Arabidopsis thaliana: one gene and its partner. The protein of the gene in region 2 interacts with the protein of the main gene of each other region in a pairwise test. Each region holds a gene or a part of one and is shown on either strand. Other genes may lie near its edges.

Evidence for each region.
Region 1: the proteins of TPR1 (region 2) and WRKY32 interact in a two-hybrid assay, tested with the Arabidopsis thaliana proteins (one study listed by BioGRID).

Annotation. Positions count from the first base shown.
Region 1 is NC_003075.7:15,052,374-15,056,205, reverse strand, and holds the start of WRKY32 (WRKY DNA-binding protein 32), read left to right. Parts: upstream 1-2,098; 5' UTR 2,099-2,297; coding exon 2,298-2,478; intron 2,479-2,570; coding exon 2,571-2,626; intron 2,627-2,947; coding exon 2,948-3,603; intron 3,604-3,688; coding exon 3,689-3,832. Other genes in the region: AT4G30940 (BTB/POZ domain with WD40/YVTN repeat-like protein), read right to left, coding at 1-1,057. UniProt on the Arabidopsis thaliana protein: Transcription factor. Interacts specifically with the W box (5'-(T)TGAC[CT]-3'), a frequently occurring elicitor-responsive cis-acting element.
Region 2 is NC_003070.9:30,265,215-30,268,814, reverse strand, and holds the start of TPR1 (TOPLESS-related 1), read left to right. Parts: upstream 1-1,689; 5' UTR 1,690-1,915; intron 1,916-2,274; exon of another isoform or gene 2,275-2,306; 5' UTR 2,307-2,368; coding exon 2,369-2,448; intron 2,449-2,520; coding exon 2,521-2,700; intron 2,701-2,782; coding exon 2,783-3,055; intron 3,056-3,147; coding exon 3,148-3,325; intron 3,326-3,442; coding exon 3,443-3,566; intron 3,567-3,600. UniProt on the Arabidopsis thaliana protein: Transcriptional corepressor. Activates TIR-NB-LRR R protein-mediated immune responses through repression of negative regulators such as CNGC2/DND1. Negative regulator of jasmonate responses.

The sequences.
Region 1 (3,832 bases), on a different chromosome or scaffold from region 2:
ACCTCACACTACTCCCTCCTCCATCCATCCTCAGATCAATAAACCCTAGATCTTCAAACTCATTCACCACACATATCGAATTGCTCTCTTCCATTGCTATCGCGTCTCTCACTCTCTTCTCTTCCGCCATTGTAAGAAATCCGATATCAGACCAAGACCAGACCATGTTCTTCTCTCGGAAATCCAACAAGCTAATATAACAGTTATCTTTCCTTGGAAACAAAGTAGCTACAAGAAGACAATTCTTACCACTCAACCATTGCAACTTATCAGCATCTCCTAAAGACCAACCAGGACTCTCGTAAAAGAAATCTACTTGCTTTCCAGTACTTTGATCCCAAACTCCAATCCCATACTCATTACTTCTTCCTTTACAGCTCGTAAAGATCTTAGAATCAGGACTAAAACTCAAAGCTCCAGCACTATAACTCTTAACCTGATTATCATGACTAACCTGAAACTTATACCTAAGCTCACCAGAAGATGAGCTAAACAATCCCATTCCTCCATCTCCTCTTCCTAATCTCTCACAAGCAGAGAGTACAATGTTACCAGAATCAATCCAACCAACATCGTTCACTCTCTGGTAATCAAGATTAATCGTTGGATGCTCCTCAAGCATCCAATCAAAGACATGGACGACACTCCCATGAGCTATGCAGCATCCACCATCCGGACCAGCTCTTATCGCCGTTCCGTCTCCAGGAGCTATGCCGGTGACGGAACGAGATAGGTGGAGTCTGTTACCGTCGAAAGGTCCCCACTTTGCGGTTCGTAAGTGGTCTATTAAGCCGTAGAACATTGCTTCTTTGTGAAGGAGACGCTCCGGGATATTAGGCGGGATGTTTAAGTCTCCTGTTCGGAGAAGATCGAGAAGAACAGCGAAGCAATCTGGATTCCTATCGATGAAGAGATCCCCGGGTTGTGAAAGATTCCAATTTTCGTCGAATAATGCTCCGAAGAAGGAATCGCGACCTGCGTTAGCGAGCGTTGTCGCTGTCGTTTCGAAGATTCTGCCACCAACGTTGAATTTGATCCTGTCATTTGATAAACCCATTATTTCTGATTTCTGAAAATAGGTGAAATCAATGATTTTTATGGATTCGAACCAAAAGCATTAATGACAAGACAAGGAAGCCATGAACGCTCGAACTCGGATTGAAAATATTCGAAATTCGATCGGATTCGAAGAAATTGAATCCTGGGAAAGGATAACGAAATGAAATCTGATTTATGATTAATCAAATTGAATACGATGATCTGGACTCTGGATATTTTTTTAAAAAAAGCTGAGATTCCCAGAAGAGAAAATAAAACGATCTGTCTTGGTCTCGGACATTTTTCCGTTGCTCGGGCATTTAAAACGTAAGAAACCCAACTGGAACATGGTGGGACCTACTAGAGACAATACTCGTGTTACTACCGTCAGATGCTTTTAGATATTGTCGTCTATCCTGCGGTCGAGATTTCGTGTAATTTCAAAGCTAATACCGTGATCCATGATAACGTTTCTAAAGCCCATATAGATAGATATCATCCCATTAACATATCCTTTTTTTTGTATGCTGAAATGGGGCCATTAGAAGCCCTGAAGAAAATGAAGAATACAAACAATTTCGTTTTTTCCATTGAAATATTTTGCTATTTTCGTGCTGAGTCTTATCATACATTAAAGTACGTATATGTTTTTCCTCTTTCAGTCACTATTTTGGAAGAACGCAAAACAAACTCCACTTTTCTTGCAGTTGTTTCCTCTATAAAGTAAGTAATTTACCACTGTACTAATCTTTTCGGGGTCAGTCATGATCTAAACTAGATGGATCAACACAACAAAAAATTACCTTTGATATATCAAAATTCGTAGAACATTGACCATATTCATTATGCTATTTATCACCACATCACATGATAATAAACAAACAAACATCCTAGATAGTCTTAAGATAAATTTTACATAGTAAACTAAACGGAACACGTCAATGATTTGACGTGACGCAGGGGTGATTAACGGAGAAATAAACGGAGTTGGTTTAACTATCTACAGTCAAACAAAGACTGAAAGACATTAATGCCCCTTCTTTCTCTTTCTTTTTTGGTATCTTTTTTTCTTTCTTCTTTTGCTTTTAAAGCAGAGAAGGCATAATAAAGGACCAAAACGCAGCGTTTTCTTCCGGAGATCAGTCGGTCGGAAAGCGGCTACCTTTTTGTCTGCCTAGAGAATTTGTTCGTTTCTTTCTTTTACTCTCTTCAGACAAAACCCACGAGATACAGAAAAAGAGGACAAGAGAGAATCGTCCATGGAAGAAGACACTGGTATCGACGAAGCTAAGACATACACGGTGGAGAAGAGCGAGAAAGTGGAGCCGGAGAAGGACGGACTGAGTCAATTCAGAGACGAGGAAAAATCACTTGGTGCGGATATGGAAGATTTACATGATGAGACTGTGCGAGAAACCCTAGGCAAGGATCAGGTTCAAGGTAACGGTTTATTCTGCGCAAAATTCTTTATTGGTTTTTATTTATTTATTCGAGACTTTATTTTTTGACGAAATGATGTTTGAGTTTACCAGGTGTTCGAGAAAATTCCTCTGTGGAACCAAATGTTGAAGATGTATTAGAAGTGAATGTGAGTTTGCTTCAGACTCTTCTGCTATTCATAAACTTTCTTAACACTTACAACTTTGATTCTCTCATTAACATTGATTGTGCTAGAACTTGTAAAGTTTAACTCATTTCAGTGTCTTCGATGTTACTCGTTCAGTGATTATACAATAACATGGGAATAGGATTAATCGTAATGGTTTTAACCTTTGGCCAAGTTCAATCTGTATCTGTATCAGTTTGATCTGTTACATTTTAGTGTGTCTGATTTCTTAGGCAATTCTGAGGACAAGAATCACTGTTATCAAGGCATGACATTTAACTGCTTTTTGTATCACATTGGCAGGAGACTGATAGCGTCAAGGAAACTGTTGTAAGTGCGATTGTGCCGGTTGATGAAGTGGAAGAGAATCGTCAGGTAGAAACATCTCCTTCTCTGGCTGCATCGTCAGACTCATTGACAGTGACGCCATGTCTATCTTTGGATCCTGCAACTGCTTCAACCGCACAAGATTTACCACTGGTTTCAGTTCCAACTAAACAAGAGCAAAGATCAGATTCGCCGGTGGTTAACAGATTGTCGGTTACTCCTGTTCCTAGGACACCGGCTCGTGATGGTTATAATTGGAGAAAATATGGACAGAAGCAGGTTAAGAGTCCCAAGGGCTCACGGAGTTACTACAGGTGTACATACACTGAATGTTGTGCTAAAAAAATTGAATGCTCCAATGATTCAGGCAATGTGGTAGAGATTGTTAACAAAGGTTTACATACTCATGAACCTCCCCGGAAGACTAGCTTCTCCCCGAGAGAGATTAGAGTTACAACAGCTATCCGGCCTGTTTCAGAGGATGATACAGTAGTAGAAGAGCTATCAATTGTTCCTAGCGGTTCAGATCCGTCTGCTTCTACTAAAGAATACATCTGTGAGTCGCAAACACTCGTTGACCGGAAAAGACACTGTGAGAACGAAGCTGTGGAGGAACCAGAGCCAAAACGAAGGCAAGTTTGTAGAATTTTGCATTTCGGTGCTTACTCTTCACTTTGAAAGATGAAATTAATAGACTTTCTTCTCTCTATTTTTCAGACTGAAAAAAGATAACTCACAGAGTTCAGATTCTGTCTCCAAACCTGGAAAGAAAAACAAATTCGTAGTACACGCAGCTGGTGATGTTGGTATCTGTGGTGATGGATACAGGTGGCGTAAATACGGGCAGAAAATGGTGAAAGG
Region 2 (3,600 bases):
GTGACTCATAATGAAACGTATCATAATGGATTGACGAGTAGTTGTCTGATATTGACATCTTAATTTATAACTTCCCTTTTCATTGTTAATGTTCCTTACTGTCTTCTGATTGATAATAAAGACGTTGACATGTCAAACCACATAATTATTTGAAAAATATATATTATTTCTTCAGATTTTCATCATTTGTTATAAGTCTCGATAAGACAGTTTTTGTTTTTTTAACAATTTTTTACAAAAAACTTACGACCATAATTTAGTTCAGGCGAAAATCAGTGAATCATTAATCATATTTATTAGTTTGGATTTTTATGTGTTTTTCTTTTTATGTATTTGAGGATTTTTCAGTTTGTGAAAACAAATCTAATATGCTTATTTGATTTCTTCTTTATTTGCTGTATTCTTAATATATCTTGCAGAGCTAAGGTAATACTCAAATTTTTTTTTTCCACACGTAAAAACTCATATTTATCAGTTTGGAATTACTGTATTCTTTTTAGTAGTCCTCTCACTCGCCATGGCAAGAAGAAGGTTTTTTTTTCCTTTTTCTTGCATTCCATGTTAATCAGTATTTGAATAAAAAAGCAAGCTAAATCGGCAAATGAACTTATATCCAAATAATCAAGATATCAATCTGTGTAAGCATTACTAGAAAAGTAGAGATACTCGTGTTACCGTGTAAATTAAAAGAATAAAAATGTGCTTTTCAAAAGTTATATACTTTTCTTGTGCACCCATAACTTTAGCAAAAGCAACCATCATCATTCTTGAGCAATTAAAACAAATAATATTGATCTTCATTTGGTGCCAAAATACTTTACGGTAATGACGTCAAACTCGATGTTTCTTGTCAAAGTCTGAAAGACCAATATAAAATAACACTAGACACATTATAAAATTAACATATTGGTTCATTGTAATTAAACCGTCGAATATATATAACGAAAATACCAATTACGCTGTGAATAAACAAACAAAATCATTTTATTAGTCATCGAGTAAATAAATTCGATTATAATCCTCAATAGTCAATATATATATAGCTCACATCACATTATGCGATTAACAAAAACAATCCAAAACAGTTAAATGATTAGAAATTAAACGAGTCTCACTAAATTATTAACGACTCCAAATCACGAGAAGGCTTAAGAGTTATCATGTCGGGAGAATTTAACTGATAACCTCTTCCATTATCTCTCAATCACGTGATTTTTGTTCAACGAGTACCGCATCTCAAGAATAAAAATGGCAATTTAGGTAAATATTTGTCATTTTCAAGGGCAATGGAACTTAAAGATGCATTTCAGAAGGAAAAGCTTTGTCGTGTTATGAGGGAAATGTGGGGACGCAGCTACTTCGCTTTCAAACCGTTGGATGAATATCCTTTAAGGTTCATCGTACAAGATCGACGGCACTCACCGAGGGTGTACTCATGTTGTGACACAGAGGATCATGTCTACTTGGAGTACAGCTAGCAGCTAGAGATTCTGAGCCGATAACGTCGAGAATTGTAGCCGGCTAAGTCGTATATGCTGGTTTAAACTTTAATCTGTACTTATATATAAGTCAACGTGCTTATCAAAATCAGCTCCCTTATCGTGTGATAGGTGCATTGTCTTATTAGACTCCGTTATCCGTCACCTTCGCATATTAAAATCACTTTTTATTTTTTGGTTTTAAATTAAAGTCTCCATTTCTGCAAGATTTTAATGTTCGTATAAATAAGCCTGAAGAGAGAGAGAGAGAGAGAGAGAAAACTTGTTTTTTTTTTTTCCATTAGTTTTTTTCTTACTTTCTGGTCGAGAGAGGAGAGTCCAAAAAACCCAAATCCTTGGCCTCTTTCAATATCAGGAGAGAGAAACTGAAGCTCTGGCCTTTGTTTCTGAAATCGATCGTCTTCTTCTTCTTCATGGCAAGTAACGTATCTAGGTCTTTCATTTTTGGTTTAATATCTAAATCGTAGCTTTTCTGGGTTTTTGATTTTTGTTTTTGTCTCATGGAAGTGAAAAAGATGGCCATTTTAAGCTTTATATTTAATTCGGTGGACAATAATAATACTAGGAAGACCTAATTTTTGTGTAGCCCAATTAAACACTAATTAAATCCGCCGGAATAGAGACTTTTGGAGAATTTTCCGGAGGATAGTTGTAAAGATCTAGTTATATACTGTGTAATTAAGAGGCTGTGTCTATTTTCATTTTTTAAAAATAATAATTAAATGGAGGAATATCTGAAACCCAGTAAATTGGGATGATTTGATGGTTTTGTAAGGTTATCATCGTCGCCATTATATTGATATGCAGATCTGGTGGGTTTTTCTGCATCTGACTTGATAGCTTTATCGGACTGAGTGGCAAAATCAATCATGTCTTCTCTGAGCAGAGAGCTCGTCTTCTTGATCTTACAGTTTTTAGATGAAGAGAAGTTTAAAGAGACTGTTCATAAGTATGTCCGATCTCTCTTTTCCTTTTTGTCTTTTATTAGGCATTATTATTAACTTGATTGATTATTAATTAGGCTTGAACAAGAATCTGGGTTTTTCTTCAATATGAAGTATTTTGAGGATGAGGTGCACAATGGTAACTGGGATGAGGTTGAGAAGTATCTCTCTGGTTTTACTAAAGTTGATGATAATCGATACTCCATGAAGATTTTCTTCGAGATTAGGAAGCAGAAGTATCTCGAGGCCTTGGATAGGTAACTTGTGTCTCTCAACAACAACAAGAATCAAATGTTTTCATATTGCCAATCAATCACACCTGCTGCTGCTTCTATCTAGGCATGATCGTCCCAAGGCTGTCGATATTTTAGTCAAAGATTTGAAAGTGTTTTCCACTTTTAATGAGGAGCTTTTCAAGGAAATCACTCAGCTCTTGACCTTAGAAAACTTCAGGGAGAACGAGCAGTTATCCAAGTATGGGGACACAAAGTCCGCCAGAGCTATCATGTTGGTGGAACTCAAGAAGTTGATTGAAGCTAATCCTTTATTCCGTGATAAATTGCAGTTTCCTACCCTTAGAACTTCACGCCTCAGGACTCTGATTAATCAGAGGTATTCTTTGTCCTTTCTTGTTCACTTCAACAAATTTTCTTCTTGTCAGCTACTTTAACTCCTTGTTTCTATGTGGCTACATAAACCTGCAGCTTAAATTGGCAACACCAGCTTTGTAAGAACCCAAGGCCTAATCCTGATATTAAGACTCTCTTTGTCGATCATTCCTGCCGCCTACCAAATGATGCACGAGCACCATCCCCTGTCAACAATCCGCTTCTTGGATCATTACCAAAAGCCGAGGGATTTCCTCCTCTAGGCGCACACGGGGTAGGTCAATTTCCACCTGATTTTTCGTATTTTCTATAAGTGCCATTTCTACTGCTTTTGGTTCTAGCTCTATAGTTACCTTTACATGCCGTGCTTGACTTACCTTTATGTCTTTAGCCTTTTCAACCAACACCTTCTCCGGTTCCGACACCTCTTGCTGGTTGGATGTCTAGTCCTTCCTCTGTCCCACATCCAGCTGTGTCTGGAGGACCCATTGCTCTTGGTGCTCCATCCATCCAAGGTTATTTGCTTATCAAATGTGGTGTTTCTTTATA